2 linked regions of the Xenopus tropicalis genome follow. The protein of the gene in region 2 interacts with the protein of the main gene of each other region in a pairwise test. Links are inferred from orthologs where the notes say so. Each region holds a gene or a part of one and is shown on either strand. Other genes may lie near its edges.

Region 1 (16,860 bases), on a different chromosome or scaffold from region 2:
TTTCTTGATTTCATGGGTTATAGCATGGAGCAGGTAAGATTGGGTAGGAGGCGAACACCCCCCAGGGTGCAAGTTAACCCACCTCTGCAATGAAGCTTACCCTTATGTACTCTATACTTGGCTGTATCTCCTTTGTTTTTTTTTTTTTGACTGGGAACTCACCAGGTGCCTATCTGGGCAACTGACGATCTCACTAGTAAGCTATCCAAGTCAATGCGTGCTTTCCTTGAATACATTTTTATAAAGCATGGACAAGGCTTTTTTCCATAAAAGCACTGTGTTATACCAGGGTTAAAAAAATCAATCAAAGATTGCTGCCAAATATTTGGGATATAAGGTAAAATGCTGTTCAATAAACCCTTTATTATGTATCTTTCCCACAATATTTTTTTATGTTGCAAACAACGCGCTCATGCGTTGAGTCATTGATTTCCTGCCTACTAATTGGACTTGATGTGAGTCAGCAGTTTGTAGTGTACAAATGTGAAACAGCATGACAGGGTTTTGTACCGCAGAAGAAAAAACAGCTTTCATATAAGGCAGTGTAATAATATACCATGTACAGTATACCTCAAAAAACTTTTGTGAAAATGATTTAAATTTAATGATTTGTAAAGTGGTCTATGTGTGACAGAGAAGCCAATTAGTTTATAGATTCTTTACTTTTTTTAGGGGCCCAAATTAATCACAGAACTACTACTTTGTCAACCCCTCAAAAATTGGTCACCTGGGCCCCCTTGGTGGTGGACTTTGCCAACAAATAAAGTGGGGGTCCCAATAAAAAAATAAAAGCACATGCAGACCTCATGGCTACAGGTTACTGGGGGCAAGGGGGCCCAGACCACTGGGGTCTGCTGTATTGTAGCCCGCTCAGCATTGCAGTAAAACTCACCACAGATGTAACTACACCCAACTAGTTCCCCACCACAAAGAAATTTTTATGGAGTCCCTGACACATTTTGCAGTCTGTGGTGAGTTTTACTGCAATGCTGAGGGGGCTACAATACAGCAGACCCCAGTGGTCTGGGCCCCCTTGCCCCCGGGAACCTGTAGCCATGGGGTCTACTGTATTGTAGTTACACCATTGATTCCCCAGTTGTGCTAAAACTCCACCCATGGGCCATCCTCTCTCCCATAATCCAAGCCCCCATCTGCCATTGCTGCAGAACCCGTGTATCCCACTGATGGCATCCCTGGTAATTTCTACTCAGGCAGGAACTGATGAGATGTGTACGTGTCACTGCTATATACACAACGGAGAGAATGCTAGCCGTCGTCCATTCTGCCTGGCTGCTAACAACCAAAATGTAAATAATAAAAAAACATTTTTTTTTAACCTTTGCCAATGTTCTTTTTGAATTGATGTATGATAAGAATGACTTTGCACAAAAATAATCCATCTAGTAATTCAAATATGTATCTGCCAAGAATACTTGGCAGGGGAAACCCCACCAAGCTCTGCAGATTAAGATGAGTCAGAAAAAGTAACTATGAGTAATAAATAATAAACTAAACACCGGGATAAACTGGGATAGGGTGACAAACATTCAAGCACCAAGAGTCATAAATCTGCAGGGTCAGATTTTAAGATTCATTCAGCACCCATCAATCACTCCCCCTAAGCTTGTCACTCGCATCCAATCTCCACCCATAGCCCTTCCCCGCCATTCACAACCTCTCTGACTGAATATCTATTGATGGTTTCCACTGGGACTGGCTGAAAGGAAGATTCAAACAGCTGTAGAAATCTCCTCCCTGGTCCCCAGTGGCAAAGGTCCCAAGTGAGCAACATGGTCCCCCCCATACCCCCAATTTTTGGCCTACCCAAAAATAAGGGCCTGCAAATCTGCACCCTTTTCGTGCTGATTTAGGCTTTGGCAGGCACTAAGAACAGGGCCTCATTGAGGCCTGTGTATGTCACCACTCACATCTAAATGATGCAAAATTTAGGGGAAATGTTGGGGATAAAAGGAGTGCCTATCCATATTAAATGCAGCTCTACTACACACAGACAATGCTGTATTTATCAGGGTGGTTGCATGACTCTAATGGAGCCAATGAAATATCTGCTAAAACAAAACTGCAAAAAGTGCATTAAAAAAAAAAGATAAAACGCAATACAATGAAGTCTATGAAGCCCAAGGGCCTATGGTTTGATGGCACTATTTAGATTTAGTATATTTGATAAAAATATACACTCTTTAAGGGAAACATTAATTTTCATTTTAGGGGTTACTTACTATCAATTTCCCTTATACTGTAGTCCGACAGAGCATTGGCTCCACTTCTCTCTGCCTGCATTTTGTAGGCAGACAGAGAGAAGCGAATCCACTCTCTTCCACAGCTCTGTGTAGCTGCACTGCTTTTGGCCTGAGTACAGCTACACAGAGCGGAGATCCACCCGAAAGACATGAAAGCAGCCATTTTTGGGCTCTGTGTAAGTGCACTAAGGTGGAAGCTGTGCCTGTCAATGCAGTTACATGGAGCTGCTGAATCTCCACCTGCCTACAAAGTGCAGGCGGAGTGAAGCAGATGCTCTGTGTGACTTTGGCCTTGACCAGAAATGCTTGGTTTAACTCCTCACAGACTCAAACAGTGGATGGGGAGACAAAACTAAGTTTCTGTTATGGATAAATAAGGGCGTAGGCTAAAATAGCTTCTACTCAAAACATTTCTCTCTCCCAATAAAGAACTGGAAAATAAATTTCAATAAAATATGACATTGTGATGGCAATGCATATTTTTGGATTAAGGCAATCACACAGAGGAATCTCTTGATGAAGTTTGTTACAGAAAAAACAAAGGAGATATTTTCTTACAGGTTTTTATTAATGTGCTATTATCAAAATGCACGTTTTCTATGTCAAGCATAAATCATATAAAAATATCTTTTTAATAAATACAGAGAGAACCTGCTCTACTGCTGCTTTTATATAGGAACCTACTAAAAAATGCCACTAAATTTAACACCGGCTCAGCCGCTGACTTTACCCTGGACCGTATTTAAGGTCAGGCAGTCATATACACACACTTTACTTGTAACCGTATAATGACAGGTCACGCATCTGACTAGAATCATTAATTGGGAAGTAATGTGGTTTCTTAAGAGAGGAAGTATGAGGTAAGTGATAGCATGCCTTATTAAGAAAGTGAATAAAATTCTATATAGAGTGTCTATAAAACTTTTGGGTTGGCGTAGATTTCTAACAGGTGAATCCAGACCCAGAAGCACACACAGTAAAAAATATATTTTTTCTTTTTTCTAAAGAGTCAGTAGGCTGTTAGAACTTAGAGAACATGGACTTTGCTCTCCACTACTACCACTGCTGCTGCTTCTGCTCAGCCTTCGGTGCGCTGTAGAACATGATTCTTGTGGACCAGGATAAGTGAATACCAAATTTGGCGTAAAAGGAGTAATGGATGGTGTCTTCATGAGTGTTGGGGTGTGAAGGGCCTCTGGCTCTAGGATTGTGTCGCTCAGCTCTATCCTGGGAAGGTTGACTTTAGGTCCCCTGGGTGACTCTTCATGTGGTTCCTTCTTAACCAGCCTGGAGGAGTCCACTTGCTGCATGTTGTGATGGGAGTCAGGAAACTTGCATATAGGCTGGTGAGCCTCAAGGATGAGTTCCAGCTTATCCTTCTGCTTCTGCAGCTCAGCAATTTCTTTCTGGAGGGATGACTTCTCTTCTTCAAGTTTGTCTGTCTCCTATTTAAAGTAAAAATGATATCAAGTATTGTATATTATGCCCACTTCTGTCACTTTAACCCCCAATTAGACCAGTAATTCAGGGATCCCCTCTTTTTTTTTATCCATGAGCAGCATTTCAATGAAAAAAGGTTGGGGAGCAACACAAGCACAAAAACTTTCCTAGTAGGTGACCAATAAGGACTCAGATTGATAATTTCGTAGCCCAATGTGGACTGGAAGAATACTAGAGGCACTGTTTATCAGTACACATGGTATTTATGCCTCCAAAACATGCCTTCAAGTCAGAAATTTAAAAATGGGCACCAACTTTGAGGCCACTGGGAGCAACATCAAAGGGGTTGGTGAGCAACATGTTGCTCACGAGCCACTGGTTGGGGATCACTGCAGTAATTCAACTACCCTATTTAACTTACTGCCTGCAGGTAATCTGTTAGCTCCTTGCGACGATTACGGCATTTTGCTGCTGCTACCTTGTTCCGCTCACGTCTCACTCGTCTTCGCTCCTCTTCCTCTGGTGACAGCTGTGAGAAAAAAAAAAAAGAGATAATAAATCTGTTACCCAATTTATGGAAGTGTTGTTATATGTGTGTAAGGGAGCTGGTTTGGCACTGCCACTTCCCACAAAATACCTTTATTATGTGTCTAAGGGGGTGGCATGAATGAATACTGCCTGCCTGCCATGCTCATGAATGAAGGGATTGGCAGTGACTGTGACCCTATGAGTCAGGCATTAATGTTTATCCCGCTCTTCAAACCATGGTTTGGCACGCACCACTAGGCTCTCTTTCCCAACCTGACTCATTCTACTGTTGGTGAGTCGCCTAATAACTGTTTCCGCTGCATGTGTAATTAGGATTTAAGTAGTGATCATGTTCTCTCAGCCTCATAATATAATTGGCAAAATACTATTGTTTTAGCCTCGGAAAGAAAACAGTTAACTTTTAAGGCTTATATTTTGGTTGGGTAAAAAGTATTATGTTTTCTATCAATTTTATTATTTCAATTCATAATAATTTTAAATGACATGTATGCTCAGCTTATTTAAAAGGGACAACAGTAAAGTAAATCAAAGTATTATTAATAAGTCGATAATGTGCATACTTACATGTTCTCCATTTCTCCTTCGCCCCATACTCAAGACTCCTCCCATGTTACGGATTACCCCATGCCGAGGGCTTTGGTATGGTGGTAAATTCAGGGGGCGTACACTTGGTTGGATCATCCAGTTAAGGTCCTGACTTGATGTGATAGCATTCAATGTTGGGATAAATTGACCCGAGGATGTGTGAACTGGATACTTCTGTAAAGGAATTTAGGAAGTTAAAGGTAAATTTGATTTATATGCATATTTGGTTGATACTTATTTGAAAAAAAAAAAATGTGTGCGTTATTATGAGTGTTCACATGGTTATGATTAACTAGTAGACACAGATATATATAATTCCATTGATTTACTGGATGAGTTATCAGAATTAACAGGGGTGCAGTTTAAAAACAGTTGATATTAGACTGAAAATGAATTTATAGTATGCAGATACTTGTCAGAATAAAGTGCTGCAGCAATTCTCTCTCTCAAGTTTTATATAAACTGAAGCTTAAAATTCCAGTCTTTAGGAAAGGAAAGTGAGTGACAAAACAATCTCCAGATTAAATTGTAGTTTTCCCCACAGAACAGAGTGGTATTTTTGAAGGATAAACTATATTCTGGTTTCAGCTAGATCACTGCAACCAATAATAATTGTACATTGTTCAAAACCGGACACTAGAACCTGAGTGCCAAAATGTAAAAAAAACAACAAAAACTGCCGCTAGGCTGTCAGTGGAAAACCAATAAAAAAAATATATTTATTTTTATAAACTACAATCCAAACCTCAGACATCTTGAGTTTTTTTTTCTAAACTCTATACTAAAGTGGCTTACTATGGCAATGAGAGCTGGATTCTTGCCTGTACTGGGTATCAAAATATAGATCATCCCTGTATAATCTAAAAAGTGATGTGGTAATGGCAGACTCTGTTAATGCCTTTAAGAGGGGCCTGGATGAGTTTTTGAACAAGCAGAATATCCAAGGCTATTGTGATACTAATATCTACAGTTAGTATTACTGGTTGTATATATAGTTTATGTATGTGAGTGTATAGATTGGTTAGTATAGGTTGTGTGCTGGGTTTACTCGGATGGGTTGAACTTGATGGACAATGGTCTTTTTTCAACCCTATGTAACTATGTAACTATGTACTGCACCAAACGTCTATACTTCCTGCATGTCAGGATTTCAGAAACAACCATTGAATTTAATACCATCCTCTTTAGCCTAATAATTAATGTGTAATGAGTATAATTTAGCCACCATTAATGCTGAGTAACAAGACCTGCTTGCCATGTTAAAGAACTGCTCACAGATGCCATTTACATTTTATACAGCGATGATGCTTGATAAAGTACATTTTCAAAGGAGGGTGTAGACTGTTTAGGACATTCTGTACCAAGCATGTCATCAGCAGAATTGACTCAGTCACAAACATATGTTACCTGCAGCTAAAATTCTTAGGTACATCTTAAAATGTATGAGCACCTACCTCAATGTTGCCTCTGACAGTAACAGAAACGAATGGAGTTATTACTGATGAAACAAAGGCGTAGGCTAAAATAGCTTCACATTTTCTGTCTGTATCAGGACTTGTCCTGGTTAGCCAAATCTAATCCTTTTATGGCAGCATGAATTGGCTGCATTGGGCGGTAAAGTCTGCATGAAAAGAGCTGTTTTGGGGCCATATGAATTTATACAGGTGACTTGTCCTAAAGCGTCAGAACAAGACATGCATGACACATGCAGTAAAACTATGTGCAAGAGACTTATAGATGGGAAAAACAAAATACAAACGAGGAAGAGTCTATTGCTGGCTCTGTGAGCAGGTATTGGCAGCATTTTCACTACTTTCTCTTCAGAAATCTCAAGAGGAACTGTATCATCCTATTTTCTATCTCCCCAACAGGTATGTCAAAACTGCAGACCTCTACTGAGGATGCTGGGAGATATAGCTAACAGAGAAAGAAAACATGACCATTTGAGATCCCTTGGTTAAGATACAAACTCTGATTATGTTGACTTTGAGGAATTTATTTGGGTATCAAAATATAGATCATCCCTGTATAATCTAAAAAGGTAGACAACAGACAACTATACATGCTCCTCTCTAAGAATTTATCAAGCCTCCCACTTATCTTTACACCAGCATGACACTGAGGTATTGTTTACACAGAGCATTCATGCTCATATTTGCATTTGAGTAGGAGTTGACATTTTACTTTCTTGGGCTTTGCCATTATCTAAATGTATCAGTAAAAGACTGCAGTGATTTGTGTGCACTGGTTGGTATTAGGGTTGCCACTTGTCTGTTTTTTCAGAAATACCAGCCAAGGTCGCGGCTGGTATTACAAATTTAGCAGAAATGTACTAGCAGGTAAATTTGTCATAACTAGTTCTCCACCCCAGCCACACCTCCGATCCGCCCACAATCCCCTCGCCCCGGGGCCCTCTCTATGCCTCAGAAGCCTGCCCTACTCATGAAGGTCTTCTGCAATCTGGCTGGTGATGCATCGACTCTGCCCCATTTGCGTCATAACCCCATCCCCCACATCACAGACACGCCACCTCGCAATCCTGCCCCCATCCCAGCCGATATTATTGTTGGCAAAAGGTGGCAACCCTAGTTGGTATTATTCTTCTGATGTCTATGGACAAGCCTTGGCTCAGTGCTCCTACTCATGGGTGCCAATGCACAATTGCAAAGAGTTCTCTGCAAGCAACGACCTACAGTTTTGTGCATTACATGATATTTGTGGATCTGCTGCTACTTTATTTTTTCTCAGGGTAGAAAAGACAATTTAAAGCATTTATGTAAGGTGGTAAATACTTAAAAACAATATTTTTAATTGATTCATAGGAAATGAGACCTAACACTTCCCCTAGTCAGTGATTAACACAAAGGAATTTTTTTTTCTAAAACAAACTATCTGCCTTATTAAAATAGTTGAAGTGATTTCTATGCTTATTTTTTTTATTTAAATTTAATTTTAATTTCTGTTAAAATCCCTTTTAGCATTAGAAGACTTCCAGTGAACTTTGTGCTGGACTAATGCAATATAAAACAGGGTAATCCCCAGCACATAAAACTGCATGATCACACCTGTCCCCCAAACTACATTAGCAATAGCAGGTATTTTTCCACTTTCACTTCTGATAGCGCAGCAGCTTGTAGCAACATATTTAGTACATGCATACCATAGATACAAGTTTTTTAATTAACCATGCTTTGGGTATTTAAAATCCGATTAAACAAATTGCTTTAATTCTATGACAGAAATAAATTTCCTGTCTTCTCTCAGTCAATATACTATAGTTCATAAAAAGGGGGTGCTTACAATACAATACCACTAAATGATGATTCACCTTTGGCATGGCATGTATGGTAGGCGTGGCGCATTGTGCGTCCTTTGAAACAAAGTCTTATGGGACGCACCAATCAGGTAGCCAAGAGTCCCTGGAAATTATTTTCAAATATTGGCAGCCATTCAGAGTCAAAAGATGATTTTTTTTCTACCAGCAGATTAAGGTGCATTTAAAAGGATAGCTTTGTAAAACAGGATTTTACAACAAAACAAAAATAAAACAAGCTAATTGTCACAGCATTGGAAAGATACTGGATAATGGGGAGACCAAGGTTTAAGAAGCCAGCCATAATGACAAAATAAAAGCACATTATATAATAAGTTATCTAGTGATTTCAACTTCTCCTGTACCCAGTAACAGCCTCATAGTGCCAATGCCTAAGCATACCACCAATACTTTACAAAGGGGGCATATATTGCCCAGATAAATATCCACAAATAACTTAATTCACTTTACTAGGTTTGGGGGAAATCAGAGTCATAGACACAACAGAAAATATGACATATGTACTTATATATATGTAACAAACACATATATGGGTGATATATATAGAGAGAATGAGAGTAAGAGAGAGAGAGATGAAGTGACATACTCCAATTGAAGCAGCATATATAGAAAAGCACACTCATTAGAGCTTAAATAGAGCAAAATAAAAGTGTATTTGCTGTACATTCCTAAGCAATGTTTCGGGATTTGTCAAAGACCATGAAAAAGTGTAGAGGTCTGAGCAACTTTTTTAAAATTATATATATACATATATTTTCCCAAAATCATTATTGTGTAGATGTTATATAATACGTCTTGTTACAGATAACTGTGTATGGATTCAGCAATAAACCTGAAGAAATGCCGACTCACCTGCTGCGCGTCCTCGGGAGGTGGGTTCAGTCTGACGCTGTGTCCCATTCCTGAAGTTCCTAAAATTGGGGAAGATCCCGAGTTCCGTAGGCCGTGGCTGCTGCACCCCGAATCTGGCTGAGGGAAGGCTCCAGTGAAGTCTCTGTACATGTTCTGGATCCTCACTACTCCTCGGTTTAACTCACTCTGACTCAGACTGCCCCCAGTCAAAGTTTATGAATGAAGATTGGCAGACTGAACTATATAAAATAGTGGGGGGGTAATTGTCAAAAGTTGTGCGAAACTGCGTTGCTGGATCCTTCGAGTACGTCAAGTACACTGTTTTTCGGATAAAAGATGTTTTAACTCTAACAGTATAATAAGTGGATATTAGACGTTTCTTGGCGCGTCTGAGTGTAAATGTTTATAAAGTATAACTCCCCCCATTAGTAATCCACAGTTGGTACAGCCTCGGAGTTACCTAAAGGCCTGTGACGTACATGCCCATATATGGTATACTTCCTCCAGCGTGAGGAAACCCCTTTGCTAGAAATGGCTGTTATTTCGTTCTGCTATTTCCAGAGTGGAAAGGAAATTATAGGTAAAACGCTGTAGCTACAGAGGCACCAAGAAAAGCAAATACTTCTGGGAAATGATGCCTGTTTGTATACCGAGGGTTAGTGTTTACGTTTTACGTTGAAATCGACACGTTTGGGTAGAATTTATGGGAAACTCTCTTATCAAGAACTGAGGGACTTTTAAGAAACAGACAGGTGTGTACCGCTCGCTTCTTATAAATGCCGATATATATATATATATAAATACCCACTAATTTATACTGCGAGTTATACAGACAGGATACCAGGAAATCTCCAGGTGGGCCCAGGTGTCAGTGGGCCCTCTCGCTTCTTTTTGCTGGAGTTGGACTGGTCCATCAGGATACTAGGATAACTCCCAGTGGGCTGCTTTATGGTCATTCCCTATTCCTGTATGAGAAAAAATAGGAACAAAGAAGTATAATAAACTATAATATAATAACTAGTATAGTAAAGAGATTAAATGAGGAATAATAGTTTAGTGGCATCTCAGTCCCACACTGTATCCAGAAAAGAACTGTTCCTTCACATGTAGAAACTGGGACTTTTATTCGATTAACTAGAAATGATTGCAATTCCTAATGATCTGTATAAAGTGAGGGGACTTCTGTTATACTGTAGGTGCGGGCTTTGTACATTACCCTCGGTGTTCTGTTATATTGATAATTATATATTTGAGTTATATATGAGTCACCCGTTTCCTAATGATACAGACAATTTAGGTGCAATTGCTTGACGTGACGTGATTGGGCTGGGCAGGTGAGTGGCTAAATATACCATCATATTCACGTTATTTGCCTGTTCTCGGCAATGCAACAGTGTAACATAAAAACTGTGGCAGGGAAAGAGTTAATTCTACACGCTTTCTGTTTCTTTCACGTTCTCAGACAGAATCATGTCTCGTCTCTTTCGTCTCCCCTCCCCCAGCCATTTTCGCCTTTCCCCTCTCTCAGGACCCCCGGGTGCCGGCTGTCTCACCCTCACGTGCTTGTCTTTCCCGTAACTTGTGACTCAGCCCCCTGTCACCTCTCCCTGCTCTCCCCCTGTCACCTCTCCCTGCTCTCCCCCTGTCACCCCTCCCTGCTTTCCCCCTTAAAGTGACAGAAACAGCCGTGGGCCAATAGGAAAGAGAGAGGGAGGGCGGGAAGGCTGGGCCGAACGTTTACTAGCACTGCTCTTCGTGTATTATGTCATATTAGATAATGTTACTGCCGGGAAATGACCGAAAGGCCACCAGGCAGATAGAATTGTTATATAAAACGGTGATATGGAGTCACAAGACACTGATATCAATTATTTATGTGGTTAATTAAAGCGGACGCGCTCAGGTAGCAGCAGCGGAAGTTAGTGTGAAAGGCAAACACACAGGGGCAGGGAGGAGTGGGACAGTCACCTAGAGTGATTCAAAGTATTGAGCAACTGGTGTCAGGTAGGAGCTGCTATATAGGCAATAATGGTTAAATGGAAGGATATTGTGAGTATCCATATATATTTATTTTATACAGGGTACTCTTAGGTGACTTGTAGTATCTTGATATTAAATAACTGGCTAAATCATTTATTATAGTACACAAGTTTTAGTAAGTCATGACACAAATCACTAAGCAATGGTTAAACTGGTGACATCAATAAGCACCGTTTAAAATGATGTAATTTATTGTCTCGTGTACATTATATTCAAATCTGTGGCAAAAAGTGTTTGGATTAAAGGTACCAGAGCAACATGTGGAGACCCCCTGTTTTCCCAGGAGTTTCCAGATTTTTGGCTCCATGTCCCGTCACTGCCTCTTTCCCGCATTTTTCTAGCTTTCCCCCTGTTTTCTAGTTTTTTTGGCAAACAATTCAGTGTGGGCATGTGCAGAAAAAATGTAGGGAGCAGTGTGCTCCAAAGGAGTGTACGCTTGTGCGGTAACATCACTTACGGTGTTTGAAAATTTGCGGCAGCATTTTGCCAAATTCCCCCGGTTTGCCAGTCATGTAAGCTCTGCCAGAGTATCTAACTAAATAATGAAGTATAGTGTGCACAATTACAAGCAGTTGCAGCAGAGTGTTTATATCTTGCGTCGTTTCTGATGACTCATTATAGTGGCCCTTTCCCAGAAACATACCATCATTCATGGTGGCTTCTATAATAATCTGCAGAGCTGTCCACATCCCCCCTATTTCTTTGGGAGTTACCCGTTCTCCCTCATCCTCTCAATTTTTCCGAAGTCTCACAAAGTCCTGCAGTGAATTTCGGGCGCACATGTGCAGTAAGCATTCATGCTGTAAATTGATGCATCTGCGCACGTGCAGGTGCAATTTTTTTGCTTCAGCTGCGATTTTGTGTGTGCATGCATGTGACATCACTTGTGGAAGTGCGTGTGACATTCGTGACGTTATTTCCGTGTATCGGGGAAAATTTTTGACGCTATGCTGCATTACCCCTGGCTACCATAGCTGTCAGGCTGACAACTTTGAATATAGCAGGGTAGATTTGAGCCCAGTTTGACACATTTCCTAAGCCCCTTTTTAAATGTTCTATTTATGAATGCCATTTGATCCCTGTTTTATCTGTATCACTTTATCTTTATCTCTACAGTAACCAATTTATTCTACACAGAATGCAAGGCTAATGGCACATGTAGGGCTTATTCTGGAGGCATATTTCCCCCTCAGTGGAGAAAGGACCGGCACCACCTGTGCTGCCTACCTTTGACTTGAATGGCAACCGGATATTACTGCTGGATTTCAGCCCAGTATGCTTTAAGGCAGGGAGTATGAGCAGTTGGTGAAACTACCAACAGAAAGTAACATAATTATGTTTAGGTGGTATTATATAGAATCGTTTCTCAAGACTGAATAAATGTTTGGTCTAGAATGTCACAAAGAGGTTAAAGGAAGACTCTAGCAGCAGCTGAAATGAATGGGAGACTGTACAATGAGAAGTGTTAGAAACTAAGATTAATAGTTCAACGCTCGTTATTCTGTGGTTTCATCTTAACCCCATTACCTCGTATAGTGGTCAGTTATTCATTCCAGCACTGGTTGCACGAGGCAGAGTAAAATTCCCCTTTTCCCTCCTGGAGCAGGAGCACATTCCATGGTGATGAGGGTCTCACATCAGTCACAAATGAGGAATCTGCTCTATCCTCTTGTGTTTTTTAATCTTCTGCCAATGTAGATGAGTAAATACAAGGCAACTGTAGATGGAAAAAGAGGTTTGGCAAAGTCCCATTAGGCCAGGCCAGGCTGTATGTACAACTCAACTCTATATGTCACTTTCTCTTTTTAGAGACCTCCTGGTGACTGATGGTTATAGTATGGATCATAATTGGAATCAATGGCATAGACTATACCTGCAAGTGTGTGTATAAACTGTACAGGTATGCAGTGGTGTTTTGGAGGATTACTTGGAGCTTGTGGGGTGAGTATTATTGGTATCAGAAATACATGGTCAATTATATTTGATTACATTTATTTTTTAATAGAATAAACTAAATCCAGCTGCCATTTTTTTCTGTAGACAACACAATGGATTAAGCAGCTGCAGATTTAGCCACATGATGTTCTATAGGCCATATGCACTACATCATTGATCCACAACCAGTGGCTCATGAACAAAATGTTGCTCACCAACTACCAGTGGCCTCAAACTCGGTGCTTATTTCTGAATTCCTGGCTTGGGAGCAAGATTTAATTGCATAAAAACCAGGTGTAATACCAAATGGAGGGTTATGTGGGCTGGTAGGTTACCTAGGGGCTACTAAATAGCCAATCACAGTCCTTTTTGGCACTGCCAGGAAAATTTTTCATGCTTGTGTTGCTCCCCAATTCCTTTTACATTTGATAGTGGTTCACAGGTAAAAAAAAATGTTTGTGGACCCTTGCACTAAATGAAGAATTTCCAACCTGCAGCCCTCTAGTTCCTATTCTTCCATGACAATGTTGGAATGTACAGGGTGCTGGGATTTGTAGTTTAAAAGCAGCTGGAGGACAGTAAGTTAAACATTTGTGTGCTAGAAAAGATTTTATATTTGTATATATGCATCCTGATAACTACTGCATTTTTTCATGTATTGTACATTCAAAATTCTCTGCATCCTAAGAAGCTTCCTGCTGTTTCCTACGAAAATAGGACTCTCTCCTCATTCCCGCCAAATCCAGCAGTTGCAAGTAACGCGCATATCCACCTGCTGCTACACGGACGGCTGACACGCTCTACATGTTAGATGAAAATGTAACATTCCTTTCTGGCTCCCTGCATTGCTGAGTGTTGAATCATTTGCTTCCTTTGTGTCATTTGTGAGTCACTTCCACAAAACGAAAGTTTTTACAAGTTTTATATTTTCAAGTGTAAGGAGTGAGGTACCCTGCCCATTAGTTCCACTCTTTACAGGGCAGGCTAATCCCACACCAGCACTGAACCCTTTTCACCAATGGCCCTTTTGAAACATTGGTGACATACGTGGGAGTATAGGGATATTTTCAGTACTCATTATCTTAAATGTGTATATTTGTAATCCCCAGAGCTGGAAAGGCCACCATTTCTTATGGGATGCTGATAATTCATAACAGAATACTCAACTTAAATAAAAACAAAGTATTAAATGAATCATTCATCCTCACAGTGGTGTACAAAAAGAGAATTCAGTTAGTTCCTCTTCTGAGCAGTTAATGAATGGGAAACGAAACAGACATTCTTTTAATTCCAGATTTATATTCTGGAATTCTTGGACCTGGCTGGGGATTTCCAGATAGTGTTTTTTCATTATTAAGAGCACCATGCCTTAAAATTGAAATATCATTATGACTTTATGTTAGCATATAATTCATCAAGTACAAGGTGCTCAACCTGCACCCGGGCCCCGGCGCTAATAGTTACGTTATTGGCTACTGCAGAATCAGAATGTTTTGTGATTATATTGTTTGGAACTGAATCTCTTTTGTTTTTAGATCAAAAATTAAAATACATTTAGGCTGATGGCAGACAAGGCATTGGGCAGATATTTTCGGCAAGTGGAAAAGTGCCTGCTGAAAATACCGCATACGCATAAAAACGCGAGACTTTGCATTCTCTTGTGTCTTTATGCGTATTTCGGCTACATGTGCCTGCAGCTGAGCATATTCCATTCATTCGTAGGAGGCGTAGGGCGGTATTTTCAGCAAGCGCTTTTCCGCTTTCCAAAAATATCCGCCCTACGCCTCGTCTGCCATCAGCCTTACTTTGTAGCTGCTCCAATGCTAACCAATAAACTCAGAAGTTTCTAAGCATCTTCACTGTCATGTTTTTTTTAAATTCATATGCTTTTATGCATGTGTGCCAATCCTGATGAAAAAATATTCAGCAGTAATAGTTACATAGTTACATAGTTACATAGTTACATAGGGTTGAAAAAAGACCATTGTCCATCAAGTTCAACCCATCCGAGTAAACCCAGCACACAACCTATACTAACCAATCTATACACTCACATACATAAACTATATATATACAACCAGTAATACTAACTGTAGATATTAGTATCACAATAGCCTTGGATATTCTGCTTGTTCAAAAACTCATCCAGGCCCCTCTTAAAGGCATTAACAGAGTCTGCCATTACCACATCACTAGGAAGGGCATTCCACAGCCTCACTGCTCTCACCGTGAAAAACCACCTACGCTGCTTCAAATGGAAGCTCTGTTCCTCTAATCTATAGGGGTGACCTCTGGTGCGCTGATTGTTTTTATGGGAAAAAAGAACATCCCCCAACTGCCTATAATCCCCTCTAATGTACTTGTACAGAGTAATCATGTCCCCTCGCAAGCGCCTCTTTTCCAGAGAAAACAACCCCAACCTCGACAGTCTAACCTCATAGCTTAAATCTTCCATCCCCTTTACCAGTTTAGTTGCACGTCTCTGCACTCTCTCCAGCTCATTAATATCCTTCTTAAGGACTGGAGCCCAAAACTGCACCGCATACTCAAGGTGAGGCCTTACCAGGGACCTATAAAGCGGCAAAAATATGTCCTCATCCCTTGAGTCAATGCCCTTTTTTATACAAGACAGCACATTATTTGCTGTAGTAGCCACAGAATGACACTGCCTGGAATTAGACAACTTATGATCTACAAAAACCCCTAGATCCTTCTCCATTAAGGATGCCCCCAACACACTACCATTCAGTAGATAGTTTGCGTTTATATTATTCCTACCAAAGTGCATAACTTTGCACTTGTCAACATTGAACCTCATTTTCCAGTTTGCTGCCCAGTTTTCCAATTTTGTCAAATCGCTCTGCAAAGCGGCAGCATCCTGCATGGAACTTATAGTTTTGCACAATTTAGTGTCATCAGCAAAAATAGAAACAGTACTCTCTATGCCCACCTCCAGGTCATTAATAAACAAGTTAAAAAGCAAAGGACCAAGGACTGACCCCTGCGGTACTCCACTAACCACACTGGCCCAATTAGAAAATGTTCCATTTACCACCACTCTTTGTACTCTATCCTTCAGCCAGTTTTCTATCCAATTACAAATATTATGTTCTAGGCCAATATTCCTCAATTTGATCATTAACCTTCTGTGAGGTACTGTATCAAACGCTTTAGCAAAATCTAAGTAGACGACATCAACTGCCATTCCAGCATCAAGGTTCCTGCTCACCTCCTCATAAAAGGCAACTAAATTAGTCTGGCAAGATCTGTTACGCATAAAACCATGCTGGCACAAACTAATAGTATTGTGAACTGCAATGTATTCAACTATCCTATCCCTTATTACCCCTTCCAGAAGCTTTCCTACTACTGATGTCAGACTAACAGGCCTATAGTTTTCAGGCTGAGAACGAGATCCCTTTTTAAATAACGGCACCACATTAGCAATCCGCCAGTCTCTCGGCACCATGCCAAACCTCAACGAATCCTGAAAAATTATGTGAAGAGGCTTGGCAATCACAGCGCTCAGCTCATTTAATACCCTGGGATGAATCCCATCCGGCCCTGGACCTTTGTTTACCTTTACATGTTCAAGTCTCTTTTGAATTTCCTCCTGAGTGACCCACGCGTCAGTAGCTAAATTACTAGCACTGGGCATATTAAAAGGGAAGCCTTCATTATCTGGCTCCTCAGATGTATAGACAGATGAAAAATAAGAGTTCAAAATTTCAGCTTTTTCCCCGTTCTCATCAACCAACGTACCTCCCCGTGATAATAAAGTTCCCACCCCTTCTTGCTTCATTTTTTTACTATTCACATAATTAAAAAATAATTTTGGATTCTTTTTACTCCTAGCTGCAATAT
Region 2 (15,659 bases):
TCTAACTTTCATCCACTGATAAATTTGCTTCTAAAAATCCTATAGGAATAATTAGAACGTGGGTTTTTATTTATCAAGCTCTAAACTCTGCCCCATAGTGTTTATATAGACACAAACATCTATATATACAGTATATATATGTGCTTACTCTCTCTTTATGCTATTTATAGATGTTCTTTTTAAATCACCATGTAAGTGCTTTAATGTACATTCAATACTCTATATAACAGGCAAACATTATGCATGAAATAGTTCAGACAAAAACTGCCAGTATATTTTTTTGCAGAGAAGATTTATGGACCATTGCTATAACAAAGTTTTATAAACAGAACGCCTATTCCCCCCCCAGATGTATATTTTTCTTGGCATTGGTGAGACATACACAACTACACACCCTTGTAAGTGCCCAGTATTTCCATTTTACATTCTGTGCTGCAGGACTTTCTGTTTCAGCCACATGGAGTGTTCTGCAGCACATACATTGTCTGCCACCCTGGTAAACTCCCTGTAGCTATCGACTATCTGATATAAAAACACACATATCACATCTAAGACCCAGAGGTGGAGGCAAGATCACTAGTGTAGAAAGCCCTATTACACCAAAAGAGGCAAACTTCCAGTTGTGCTTATCGTCACTCCTGGTAAAATGCTGCCTGAGGAAAGGACAGAGGCACTCGCATTGCCTCTTGGCTCTAGTGTCTCTGTCTGAAACTTTACCCATGTTATTTTAAGTGATTTCTTTTCACTTACAGAAATGCAGAATATCTCATTTATCCCAAACACTATGCAGCACTATGTCAGTCACCTTGCTGGTATCTTACAGACATTATTGTGTAGCTTTGGCATCACTATATTACACTATAATCAAACATGGGGAGGGAGGACACATATTATGTTGGATTTCCAATGGGGGATTATTTTGTATTTTGATATATCTGCTGACTCAGGAACAATAGTGCTTTATAGTAAAAAAAAAAAAGCTTTAAGTGCTTATGTAGGTCAAAAAATTTTTTTTACCTAGATCACCAGTAGATCACAAGAAAGAATTTATAGTTTTGCACAGTCTGTTACAGTATTAACAAAATAGTCCAATGAAAGATCCTAACAATAAATAGCAAAGCAGAGAAGCAGAGCAACAAACAGCACCCAGAAATGACTGATACAAAGCAATAGAATAGAAACTTCACAGCGTCGGGCTAAAAGCAGGACTATTTGCCAACACTCATCTGAAATCTGATGTAAGAGAATATATATTTCATATCAAAGTTAAGTGGAACTTAGTATCGTTATCTCATAAATAAAGTGGAACTTCCCAGTGTCATGGTCGTGGAAGATGTTTAAACAAAACAAAAAATGAAGGGGCTGAACCTTGTAATAATCTGTAATAATCTGGTATCAAGAAGTAAACATAAATATGACCAGCATACTAGGAAAATGAGAAAAACTTCTGTGTAAACTCAAAAATGTGACATAACATCATTGTTGAAAGAAGGGCTATGATTTTTATTGTAGGCAGGCAGGCAGGCTGACAGATAATATAGGGCTGGGTTAAAGAAATCCTTAGGAAACACAGCCAGCTACTCAAAGGATACCATAGACATATCAACGTTTGCCAGACACTTTTCTCATTCACCATAACACTGAAATGTAGAATCTGTGACTAAATGACAATATGCTAGCAATGGGATGTAGCAAGGATTAACCAAAATGTCCCCTATGGGTCCAATTGAAGGTACCATCTCAGCCACATCACGCTGGACTAGCAGCTTGCCAATAACTTTTGAAACCTAATAAGATACCTACAGCATCTGTTCTAAAATCCACTCTCGTCATTCTTACTCAAATACAACAGTGACTGCTATGGGAGATAATATGGCCCTGTAGTAGCAAATCTGTTCATAGAAATAAGGACTGATTGTCCACATGCTATACTGGGGGAATACTGGTTATCTGCAGGGCATTTGAACTGACTCTAATAGATTTTCAATCAGTCATGCGTTTCTATGAAACCACCTTAGGCCAGAAGGCATTCACAGCGTATCTCAGATATTTGTACAGATTTTATCCCAAAATAGCAGAAATCCCAGTATTTACAGTCAAGTCAGAGGGAAAAATGATATCAATTTCCTTTTAATACTTTAAAAACAGGGCTAACTTTATACCTTAGATTCATGCTCTTTTACAACAATAGTGCATATCATAGGCCTTGCACACCTTTTATCTCCAGCGCTGCCCACCTTCTCTCATCCTACATTTGGTTTAGAATTTATGACTTAATGAGCTTTCTTTTTATTTTTTTGCATTGTTTTAAATTTATTTTCTAAATCCTAGCCTAAAGAAAGTAACCTTAGGGTCCTGAGAACCTTTCTCTATAGCACTATATAGCAAGCAAATAAATGTCACCTTTATCACCTTTATGCCAGACAAGTTTCATTCATTTATTTATGTGAGTGCCAAACTACACGTGCTTCCATTGTTCCTTTAGAAACAGTTACCAAAATCTGACTATACCATACATGGACATAAACAGACAGTAGGCTGATCTACTAACTCCGTTTAACCATGTGACCACAATACAGATATGGGACCTGTTATCCAGAATGCTTGTGACCTGGGGTTTTCGAGATAAGTAAGAATCTTTTTGTAATTTGTATAGACAAACTTCAAGTCTAATAAAAATCATTTGAACATTAAATATACCCATTAGGATAGATTCTATCTTAGTTGGGATCAAGCGCAAGCTACTGTTGTATTATTAGAGAGAAAAAGGAAATCATTTTTAAAAATTAGATTTGCTTTATATGCAGTGTGTGACAATGACAAGCAGCGGGGGGCAAGGGAGCAAGGGGTAGGCAGGAGATCAGCATTGTGCCCTAGGCAGTTGCCTTTTCTGCATACCCCTTGTTCCGGCTCTGTTTCTTGAAAACAGGTTTCTGGATAATGGATTCTATACCTGTATTGTAAATGAACTATGTACTATGTCCCTCTACTAATTATACATGAACTTAAGATGGTGAGAAGCCACTGCACTCTATGCCAGCCTCTGTACTTAGGTAGCATACCCCAAGTTCAGCCATAAAACCACAACCATTTTGCTACCAGAAAAAATACAACTATTGTTAGTTTATCCATACTGAAGGGATCTGTGCCCAGTGCATAATGGTGGCACATCTTAAGGGGCACATTTACTAACCCACGAACGGGCCGAATGCGTCCGATTGCGTTTTTTTCGTAATGATCGGTATTTTGCGATTTTTTCGGAAATTATCGCGACTTTTTCGTTACCAATACGATTTGCGCGAAAAAACGCGAGTTTTTCGTAGCCATTCCGAAAGTTGCGCAAAATCTGGCGATTTTTTCGCAGTGTTAAAACGTTGCGCCTTTTAAGTTTTAACGCTACGAAAAAGGCGCGACTTTTCGCGCAAGTTTTAACACTACGAAAAAATCGTCAGATTTTGCGCAACTTTCGGAATGGCTACGAAAAACTCACGTTTTTTCGCGCAAGTCGTAATGGCTACGAAAAACTTGCGTATTTTCGCGCAAATTGTTTTGGTAACGAAAAAGTCGCGATAATTTCCGAAAAGTCGTAAAGGCGCCGAAAAAATCGCAAAAAATACGAAAAAGTCGCAAAATGTTCGTTTTCCAATCGGAATTTTTCCAATTCGGATTCGAATTCGTGTCTTAGTAAATCAGCCCCTATGTGTTCATTTGGGAGAATAAATAATGGGAGGGGGGGCTTCTTAACAAACTGAGCTATGCAAGTGCACCTCAGCTGGCTACCGAGACACACACCTGAGCTTGTTGTGAATTTAACACAAAATGAAAGACATCAGGTGGGTTTTGGATAACTGGTCACTGACTACTATAAATCTATTTGCATTAATACACCAACAATAAATTTGTCATGCCGCCTTCAGTGCCAACCCAGATGGAAACCGGGGAAGTGTGTCGCCGAACTTAAAAACAGACAGTTTTACACAAGGTCTTTAAAGCATAAAGAAAATATGGTGTATTGAACCTTTCATCCTTTCTTCATTTATTCTTAAGGCATATGGTGTAAATCAGGGATTTCCAACTGAAAGAGCTTCAGCAGACTGAGGGCACTGGGAAAACCTATTTACAGCTACAGTGTTATAGGTATGGGATCTATTATCCAGAATGCTTAGGTAATTTAAATGCATTAAAGCTACTAAAACAGTTATTTTGCCATCTGTATTGAAAGTACTGTCTAATTATTACAGAGAAAAAGCAATTCCATTACACAGGAAGATTTTTCTGTTTAAAATTTGTGGGAACTGTGAATGTGTATTTCAGACCTTTCCGGAGGGTGCATTTTCTGAGTTATAGATCCTATACTTAGGGGCACATTTACTAATCCACGAATCCGAATCACGAATGGGAAAAAATCGTATTGGAAACGAAAATTTCGGAAGATCGCAAATATCACGAAAATGCTTACGAAAAAATCGTATTAGTCACGATAATATCATATTGGCGATCCGAAAATCACGAAATTTTCGTACCGAACAATTGTAAACAGCGGTAAAACCTTTCCGATTTTTTTGTACAAACGTCCGAAAAAGTCGTGCGCTGTACGAAAAAGTCGTGCGCTGTACGAAAAAGTCGTGCGCCGTACGAAAAAGTCATGCGGATGCCCGAAAAAATCGGCAAAAATACGCTCGGAGCGTTCGTGCTTTTGTAAATGTGCCCCTTAGTATTAAGGGAAAACTGTTCAAAAGGCATTTGAAGGCCACTTGTGACAATGAACAGAGGTATGTATGTATTATACTGCAGCATTTCTTACTGCATAATCCCTGTGTGCATACTCAACTCCACCAATCACAGCACTCAGTTTTTCAGTGTATTCTAACATATACATTTACACTGCCTTTGGGAGTACTGATGTAATAAGGACTGCTACGGTCTATACCCCAGATATGATACAGGATACAGACAAGCATCACGACTGCAACTGCATTCACTTTGCACATTCTGGTAGCAGCATATACTGTGCAATTTGGGTGGCAGTAGAACTACCATCAAGGACCATTAGCTACTGGGTTTTATCTGTTCTGGCCCATAAAATGACAAGAAACTGGAATGCGTGGATCCTTCTCATGCTTATTAGAATACTCTGGCTTATTAATTAATCACAAGTGATAACACTTTCAAGGAGCAATATTCTTTGGTTTATTTGGTTATGGCCACAGAATAGTACATGATTATGTTGCTCTATACATGTAAGTCAATACTTACTTTGTTAGAATTGTTGTACAGCAAAAGGTCATCACTGTGTATTTCCATGGAGCGAATAACTTAAATAATGAACAGCAAACTTCATGGTTATTTTATAAAAAGAGAATAAGTGTAAGCCAAACTGGTTACAACAGTGTCAATAACCATCTAAGCACATATATTCCAAGATTTGAAAATCAAAATGAATTACAGATTAGGCATGTCCCTGATCCACCTGACCCTACCATTCTGCATGAAGCCCTGCCTATTTTTCACAAAACCCTACCCCTTTTGGGTAAACCCTGATTTGTGTCATGCTTGCCTTCATTATTAGACCAGTAGAAGGTAAAATGGATGCTGTAGGTTACTATACCTAGAAATAATGAACATATACACTAGGTCAACAGGGTATTTAAACTGTATGGCCAAAAGTCTTTATCTAAAATAACATTCCCAGTTGGAACGCTCACTGTTGAGTTCCAAACTGTCAATGGAAACAACTGGAAAATGAAGTCATACCTTTTATGAAAGAAGCGTCAGTAAAAGAACAATTTGTAGGGTGTGTGGGATTTATGGGTGATCAGTGGTAAACACACCTAACATTGCCACGTGGAAAGCCAAGCATGACCTGCAACGGGGTATTATTAGCCACCATTGGACTCTGAAGCAATGGAAACTAAGCCTCTGAAATGATAAATGGCATTCTGATGGCCTAGGTTTGCTAGAAGCCAGGAGAACACTAGTCGACTCAACTCATAAAGAGTCTGGTGAAGGAAGAATATTGGTCTGGGGCTATTTTCCATGCTTGGGGCTAGGGCCCTTGGTTCCATTGTAAGAAAACATTAATGCTACATTGTACAATGTCATTCTTGACAACTAATAAAACAGTACCTTGTACTTGATCCCAAATAAGATATAATTAATCCTTATTGGAGGCAAAAAAATTCTGTTGGGTTTTTAATGTTTAAATGATTATAAAGTAGACTTAAGGTATGGGGATCCAAATTACAAAAGACCCCTTATCTGGAAAACCCCAGGTCCAAAGCCTTCTGGATAACAGGTCCTATACCTGTAAAAGTTTTAAAAATGGTAATTGTAATAATAATGATTCCAAGAAATTATTTTTAAAGTTGCCAACATAGCTGCCATTTTAGAAAGCTTTTAGCATTAAAGGGCTGCTTTCCTTGCAGTTTGTCAACCATTTTTTTCTACTGTCTTTTTTTTTGCTATTGTCTGCTGTACAGATGCATTAAAAAACCAAAAACTTAAAAAAAAGGATAGCTAAATACATAAATGGAAAACAAATGCACTTTCTTCTGTTTTAACCTGCATTTTCTGACATTCTTTGTATTTAGGATTTTAGGAACGCTACCTTGAATCTTAGTAGGATGCATAGTAAATGCATGTGTTCTTTGAGCAGTTACATACAGGGGACATATTACTAAAGCTGTGTTTAAAAACTACATTGTAATAATACAGGGTGCCCTTTGTATATTTTGAAAAACAAAACATATTATAAACTTAAAATTCATGCGCATATATTGTTTACAATGTTGCATTTTGTAGTGATGAAATACATTTTACAATGAAAAAAATTAATTTGTCCCTACAAAAAGAATTCTGTGAACACAAAACATTTTTGCAATTACTTTTGTCTACAAAACGGAATTCTGCAGTCGCAAAAATAATGTCACGAAACACAGACGAATTCTCTGAACACAAAGGTAAATTTGCGGTAACAAAATTATATTTGCAAATACAATGGTACACGCACAGAATGCTTTTGCATGGCAAAATGATTATTTTTTTACCAACAATTAATTTTGGAATTTACAAAATGGATACGGTTCTGGTAAAATTATTTTGTAGTCATAAAAACTATCTTGTATTCATGGAATACATTGTCAGATCACAAAATATATTAGAGCTAATTTACAAAACTGTGTGCATAGTTTGTAGCCACAATGCAAGTTCTTACCCAGCAGTTACTGCAAAAACTGTATTGTGGTAGTGTTGATACCTGCATGCAGTGTGCAGTGTTAATGATTTAATCTGCACTCATTTTAGCTTAAACAAGTTGGATCGCAGGTATAGTGCTCACTTTGGATAAACTGCAAATCCATCTGGATAATTCAGTTTACCTGCCTCCAAAATTATTTTCTATTTACAGTACAAAATTAACTCTACAAACACAATTTTGTGGTATAAAAGAAACATTTTAAAGTATACATGTTCACAATTATTTTTGTGACTACAGATTTATCCTTGTGTTCACAGGATTTTATTTGATATTTTGTACTTGCAGAAATGATTTTAGAAAAATGGGTTTGATGCTTTTATGCCAGAAAAAAAGATATATTGTGGTTAAAAAAAAAATAAATAATTTTTTTGCTGACAAAATACATTTTCTGACTACAAAATACATTTTGTGCCCACAGAATGTATATTGTGGTCATTCTGCCAGCAGAAAATTAATTTTGCGAGCTAAAGATATTTTGAAGACAGATAAAATACATTTGTAATACGTAATGATATGTTATCAAATAATGATGTTGATTATGTTGATAAGTCGGATCTAAGATAATTGACGCAAATAAACATTGCCATTAACTGTTTGTAACTATAATCCCACTGCCTGGCTTTCATTCACATGTAACAAAAACAATGGAGCTTTATTAATATGGCATGTATTGTACACCAATTATTTTTATATTTCACACAGCTTTATAAATATGTCCCATGGCTTAGGTAGAACATGTATCTGAGCTCTGAGTAAATATGCTATTACCAGAAATAGCACCAAACCTCTAAAAACCAGAGAGCTGCTCTAAAAACTGGACAGGGGGGTAAAATAAAACCTTGGATATATCCAAAAAGAAAATGAACAGCATACTTACATTATATAGTAATTATTTTATATTAATAAGTATGTGAGTTAAAGTTCATGCAGAAATTTGCCAATGGTCTTTAACCTTTAATATTAAATACTGGCCATACAAGATATATAATTATATCTTAGTCATAACAGGGTCAAGTGATACAAATGGCTTAATAATAGTCATTAAAGGGCAAAGATTGCCTGTTATTTTAGCACATTCATGAGAAATGAGATTCAGAGGCTAGTATTAAAGGAAATCTGATTATGTACATAAATACTGTGCAAATAACATGAACTACATTCAAGGTGCTTGGCCCTTCTGAATCCAACATATTTGTGTTACGACTACAGGTATAGGACTCGTTATCCAAAATGCTCGGGACCTGGGGTTTTCCGGATATGGGTCCTTCCATAATTTGGATCTTCATACTTTGTCTGCTAAAATAAACCCAATAGGATTGTTTTGCCTCCAGTAAGGATTAGTTATATCTTAGTTGGGATCAAGTACAAGGTACTGTTTTATTAATACAGAGAATAAGGAAATATGTTTAAAAATTTTGGACTATTTGATTATAATGGAATCTATGAGTTTGGAACTTTCTGGATAATGGTTTCCGGATAACGGATCCCATACCTGTACAAAAATGTGCATGTTTATATTAGCAGTGTTTCATGACAAACTTGATTTGCTCCTTTTGGATTGCAGTTGATGGCAAGCTCAGGCAGCGGTACCACTTCCACCATTTGGTAATTGCTAAAGAACAGCAAACTTATATCGTTAGCTTGTCTGTTTAGCATAAGAAACAGACAGACTCGAGCCGTGAAAATAAATATGTCAAGTTGTCACATTACTAAACTGAGAAAAATCAGGCAACAGAGGCTCCTAAAATGCATTTTGACCAATCCAACAAAAGCAAAGTTTAAAAGAACTCTGAATATAACCAAATGCAACATGCATCATTATACCTTTAGTGCATATGTTCGTACAATTTCACTTTATGTCCTTTCCACAGAGAGAAAAAAAAGTACATGGAAATTAGCACCTGGGGTATTTGAGACATTTTCACTTTTTTTTTTTGTTTTACAAGTGGTGTACTAATATATATGATTTTTATAAAGGGTATTTGTATTTCTATATTAGAAGTAGAAAGGCAAAAAAATAAGAATCAAAACAATTTAAGAAGTAAATGCTTTCTTAAAATATATATATAATATATATATAAAAACAGCCTGCATATTGTTTTGGTTTGCTGGATTAAACTAAATAGAAAACAGTGCACGCTCAGATCTGCTTCAGCTGAACTTGTGAACATGGGGACCTTAACAGGGCACTGACAAATTGAAAAGCATATTTCTTACATAATACTTTTTTATCCATATTGACTTTTCAATCAGCAGCCTCGATGTGAAGAGAAAAGAAGAGCAGAAACAAAGATCAAAGCTAGAATTTGTTCATTTCTTTGGGAACGGAAGATTTCTCTAATAAACTGAGCTCTAGAGATCCCTAACGGAAGAATAATGCCGAGCCTAGGCAAGGAGAGATGCAAAACTACAAACCAGACATGTTTGAGTATTATAAGATGCTACTATGGTAATAAAGTATCAATTCAAAATAAGCAGACTCTTTGTTTCAGGCCACTTTGTAGACTGGTAAGAAAAACAAAAATAAACAGCTATGTACATAAATGCTTTAGTTCATAAACAATTAAAATTGTACCAGAAAATCGAGAAAGCTGAAAACATTTCCCAAAGTTGCTAGCATATTAATTGCATAAATTCCTTTTTTTTAAGTAAAAAAGACACATTTTTTAATAGTAAGTATAAAAAAGGAAGGCCAAGGTCATTCAAGGACTGAAGATACTTCCAGGTTTCAAATAAAGATGAGTAAAAAGTTCATAAAAGTGGAAGATCTGATATTATACCAAACCCCCGAAGGCAGTTCTAAAGCCCAACCTTTCAGAGAATGGGATTTATGTCTGTTCTGTGATTGGCAAGCGGGTTGAGGTTGGAACTTCCAACGACATCGCTGACAGAGGAGGAAGTTGTAATTGTGTTATGCTGAATGACTTGTTGCTGTGAGCAGGCTGGGACAGGACTTTCTGGTGGGCTGTTTTCAGGGCCTGAATGAAAGAAAAGAAATATATATATATTATACATGTTTAAATACATTTGCATTGAATATTATTACAACAACTGTAACCTGACATGCTTACATCAATTACATCAAGTCCTAGCATTAAAGCGGACATAAACATTCCACAAAGCTCTCCCATTGGCACTTCCTGGCTCTCTAAAGAAGGAACCCTAAATTTAATTACACAAATTCAGGTACATCAGGTAGTTCACTGCTCTCTAGCAGTAAGAGTACAATGATATGACTTGCTTGGCCTGTAATCAAACATCAGAAGGGTGGATATAGTACTATTAAACTGTGGTCACAAAGCAGCAAGGAATCTCAATAAAGGATGGATCTACAATTTGATTAAGGGAGAACTAAATCCTATCCCCCCCAGGTTTCCCTGTGTCCTGACCTGCCATAAATTTGCAAAGTTGCGCAGCAGAGAAAGGGGTAGGGTTTACGTCTCCTTTTAGAAGCGTTGCTTTAAAACTTGCCATGAAGGGGGTTTTTGGCTACAGCTGCCAGCATATATTAATCTTTGATAATATATTGGAACATGGTCCACATTTGGGTGGAGGGACATGGCTATGGAAGGTGTGTCTCACCTTGATGGCCCACCTGCTACCCCTGTTCTACAAGGGTTCTGTCAAGGTTCCCTATGGGTTGTGCTATTTTTAAACAATTAGGTTTTTCAGCAGAATGCAATGAAACAGAAATAGGCTTTTCATCAGGAACATGGAAATAAACATTTATCCTAACAAACACAAATCCCATTGCATGGAAAATATAAAGTTGGAGGCTACGGAGATATCTTTTAGACTCAGTCAACATTATTCTTTTAAAGGTTTACAAATCTGCTAAAAGCTTGACTGAAAACACACCCCAAGACAAAATAATGTTGTATCCTGTGATCATTCAGAGAAAGGTTCCTGATGGAAGACCCAAAGGAACGCCAATTGACTTTCAGAAAAATATTATGTAGCTTTAACTTTTTTTTTTGCTCTCCCAAACAAATCTCCCTCTGAATCTCTCTCTGTAATCTTTCAATTATATCTGATAATGTAGAGAGAAAGGTCATTTCAAGTGAATGTGGTGTATCTTTAGGGAAAGGTAACTTACCATGCACTGGGCAGCTTTTGAGTAGCAGTACTCATCCTGTATAAAATGGAAAATTCATTTTTAAAATGCTTTAAGCAGCTCTCCTGCATATTTCCTTAAGAAATGTTGTTTGCAAAAATGCCAGCAATGACATCATACAATCCAGGCTGATACTGACAGCTCATTGGTAATAAAGGATATTTTCTATGAGGTATTCATATATGCTCACGCAAACAATACAATTATAAAATAAATACATATATCAATTCAGTCCAAGCAAGTCAGCTAATTGCTAGGATAAATGATTAACAAAGCTGCAAGTAGCAATGTGTTAAATAGTTGGTGGAATCTGCAACAAAATAGCTGAATAATATCTTTATGTCCAAGGATCTAGAAATAAGTTAGACAGCAATAGGTAAATTGCAAGCAGGGGGGGTTCCAAATTTCGCTTTTTCTTGCGAAAATTGTTTTAAAGCATTACACAAAAATGTAATATGCCATATGGTTTTACATATGTGTAGGCTATGGGTGTCCATTGCTTAGCAATTAATTGGAATAACAGAACCAAGACAATGGAAAATGCCATAGAAGAAGAATAAGAAGACAACATGACCTCACAATGGATACAAAACCACAAGCACAATCTAACTACATAGTTAGGGCTCTTTATTTAGCCACACACTACGGTTAGTAGCTCAGAAACAAAGCCAGCTAGTCTTGGCTTGTTATTGAGGGTGTTAGATACTCATGGTGTGCAATGTAGGGGCGCACGGTCTGTTGGTGAGCAGTTGGACACCTGTTTCTGATGTCATGCTTTGGGACATTTTTGCAAAGGGAAGCAGGAAAGCAGATTAAAGAATTAGGGGAAAACTTGAAAAGAAAAATGTGCAGTCTCAGGTTATCATTTTGCCACATTCATCAAAGAGTTTAATCCTTTCTCCATTCCTGACTGATAATTTGGTTGAACTGAAAATAATCACTCATTGAAGTTAGATTTAGCTTCACTCTGAGATAAAAGAGACTTTTTAGATTCCGCCCAGTGCATGGTTTTCCTTTGCATATATAAAGAGTAGTTTACCACACGTATATGCAAACTACCACAGGGTAGTGGCAATAACTAGCGCAGCGTATGGCAATAACGAGTACAGCTTTGGCAAATCAGTAAACTGCAGCTCTTCTGCAACGACTTCAAGTCTAGAGTTACACACTTTTGATTTATTTTAGACATGAAAATGATAAGCAGAATACATTTTTCAAATTTTCCCACTGTATTGAATTTAGATGAATAATGGCATTTTAATACAAACCCATGGAAATCAAACCAAACCAGGGTATTAACTAGATAGAGGATTCTGATTAACTCCTCCCATTCAGACTAAATAAATGGGCAGAGGGAACTTATCCACTCTTAAATATAACAGTTATACACAATATATATACAGGTATGGCATTCATTATTCAGAAACTCGTTATCTACAAAGCTCCGAATTACAGAAAGGCCATTTCCCATTGACATATAAGCAAATTATTCTAATTTTTAAAAATGATTTCCTTTTTCTCTGTAATAATAAAACAGTACCTTGTACTTGATCCCAACTAAGATATAATTACCCCTTATAACAGGCAAAACAATCCTATTGGGTTTCTTTAATGTTTAAATGATCCAAATTACAGAAGGACCCCTTATCCGGGAAACTCCTGATCCTGAGCATTCTAGATAACAGGTCCCATACTTGTATTATATTTATTCAACAAATTTGGACACAGTTGTTGATGATTTTTACTCATTCATCGCTGGTGCCTTTTGATCTCGGCACAAGAAATGTTGCCAGTACATGAAGTCCAGTTAGATCAAAAGTTAGAACACAATGGCCCACATTTAAAGGGCTAAAGAGATAAGGCTGATCAATACTATTGACTAGAATTGAAAACTAGTGACCAAAATTTTGGGTAGGGATCTGTGGCAAAATTTGATCATTTTTGCCCAAAAGGCCTGTAGACCCCAAAGTACTTTTTGTGAAAAAAGTCACCTTTAAAAGATGCCCATAGACTCCAATGGATTCAGAAAACGTCTCTGAGAAACCGCCCATTGGCTTGAATGTGTTTCGCAAATTTTACAGCTATGAAAATTTATTGCTCATTGCTAATGAATACAGTTGCTTGGAATCTCAAAGCACTCGTGCCACTGGGGCAACTGAAAGTGCTACAAGTAACACTAGGCCTGTCAATATAACCTGCAGTATGCAAAGGGTAAATTGAGGCCTAAAGGCTGCTGGGAGTATTTGTATGGCTGTTTATGGAATTTTTGCAGCCAGTTGGCAGAGGTCATCTAAACACCATGTAGAGTTTCTTAAGAAAGAAAGCTGCATCTTTTAGTTGCATATTAAAGGGGTGAGTATTGTGGAAATGTAAATGTTTGCCGTTACCAGGAAGCCTCCTGTAACTAGGTACTGGCGACCTTAACGGCAAGACACTCAGTTAAGATGAAGGTGTAAAGAAGAAAAGATGGCATTCAGAACTTACTCAGGTATCCTTGTGACTCTTTTTGCATGGCAGTTATTGGACAGTCTTTATGCGTTAACAATAATTGTTTCAGTTGTGCTACCTCGTTTTTCAACATTGAAACCTCATTCTGGAAAAAAATGTGGCATTTTAAATACAAGCATATAACAAGAGCAAAAGATCATAAAATTATAAAAATCACAAAATCAAAGTCAAAATGGACTTTAAAGATACAGAAAACCTTGAAACATCTGTCTAATTAACTACACTTTTCTTGGTGAGTTGTGCTTAGAGGGGGCAATACCTATGTTACACAGCAGAATGGAGTCTGCGCATCCCAACCACTGGCTTAGGGCCCATCATTCATATTTTACAGCAGAATTGACAAGGAGAGTCAGTAACAGGGAACAGGGTCGGACTGGGGGGTGCAGGGCCCACCCAGGCTCCCGCCCCAGGGGCCCTGCAGGTGCCCCAGCCGTGTCCGTCCCCTAACCCCCCCCCAGGGGCCCCCCTAACCCCCCCGCAGGGCCCCCGCCTGACGTCCTCCCCGAGCGCGTATAAACTGAACATGTCGGGGAGGAACAGTCAGTAGGGGGAGCGCCGGCAAAGGTCGGACTGGGCCGCTGGGGCCCACTAGGGCCGGGGCCCACCGGGATTTTTCCCGGTGTCCCGGCGGCCCAGTCCGACCCTGACAGGGAAAGCCAATATCACATAGATAATAGTCACCTCTAATGGGGTACAGAAGCTAAATATTATATTTAACATATAATAACATAGTTACACTGAATTTCATTAAAAACATCTGTCTAATTAACTACACTTTTCCAATTATTTTAAAATTTGATTGTAAATGTAATTGGCATTGGATATTAATGCATAGTAAATACACATTTTTAGTGATTTTAAAGCTTTTTTCTAAATGTAACAGTATCTAAATCCCATAAAGAGTGTTGGCTGGAAGGGAGCAGACTATATGCAACATGTATTCAGAACCAGCAGTGCAGGTAACAGGAACATTACTAGTACTAAGTACTAAAACCCTGCAAGAGTTCCCAAACTCAAATACCACTTTGTGCAGATTGGTTTTTTTTTTTTAACAAAAACATAAGAAGCTTGGCAGGTTTTAGGTGCAGAGATTTTAATTTTTTGTCAGGAAAAGCGTGATATTGGAATGAAGACACAACACAATAGTTTGGGAGTTTGGGAACTCTTGCAGGAGTTTAGTACCCGAATGCTTGAGTGTTCCTCAGCCCCTTCATAAACCGCCCATATAAACAGATAGAAACAGATAAAGTTGTAAGAGACTATTCCCTTTGACTTCTTTAGAAACTTACCAACTTTTACTTGCTGGATTTTTCTGACAACTTTTTGCTTCATTTTTTTCTTTTATAAATTCTGACTATCCAAGGGTTCAGAAAATACTTATAAAAATATTCCCTTTTTGCCACATTTCTTCTCAAATAGAGAAAAAAACAAACTAAATTTGAATAAAATCCCCTCTTAGGGGCACATTTACTATGGGTCGAATCCGAGTCCGAATGGAAAAAATTCGAATTGGAAACGAACGTTTTGCGACTTTTTCGTATTTTTTAAGATTTTTTCGGCGCCTTTACGACTTTTCGGAAATTATCGTGACTTTTTCGTTACCAATACGATTTGCGCGAAAAAACGCAAGTTTTTCGTAGCCATTCCGAAAGTTGCGATTTTTTCGTAGCGTTAAAACTTGCGCGAAAAGTTGCGCTTTTTTCGTAGCGTTAAAACTTAAAAGGCGCGACGTTTCGCGCAAGTTTTAACACTACGAAAAAATCTCAACTTTTTGTGCAAGTT

What was found.
Region 1: the proteins of creb5 (region 2) and fosl1 interact in binary tests that used the Homo sapiens proteins (3 or more experiments, as listed by UniProt). The two-hybrid records come from large-scale screens. The link is inferred for Xenopus tropicalis from reciprocal best matches to the Homo sapiens genes CREB5 and FOSL1.

The regions. Positions count from the first base shown.
Region 1 is NC_030680.2:37,709,427-37,726,286, reverse strand, and holds fosl1 (fos-related antigen 1), read right to left. Parts: upstream 9,396-16,860; 5' UTR 9,172-9,395; coding exon 9,022-9,171; intron 5,010-9,021; coding exon 4,815-5,009; intron 4,231-4,814; coding exon 4,123-4,230; intron 3,707-4,122; coding exon 3,263-3,706; 3' UTR 2,809-3,262; downstream 1-2,808.
Region 2 is NC_030682.2:43,123,850-43,139,508, reverse strand, and holds the end of creb5 (cyclic AMP-responsive element-binding protein 5), read right to left. Parts: intron 13,963-15,659; coding exon 13,854-13,962; intron 11,388-13,853; coding exon of another isoform or gene 11,383-11,387; exon of another isoform or gene 11,352-11,382; intron 10,234-11,351; coding exon 10,070-10,233; 3' UTR 8,684-10,069; downstream 1-8,683. UniProt on the Homo sapiens protein: Binds to the cAMP response element and activates transcription.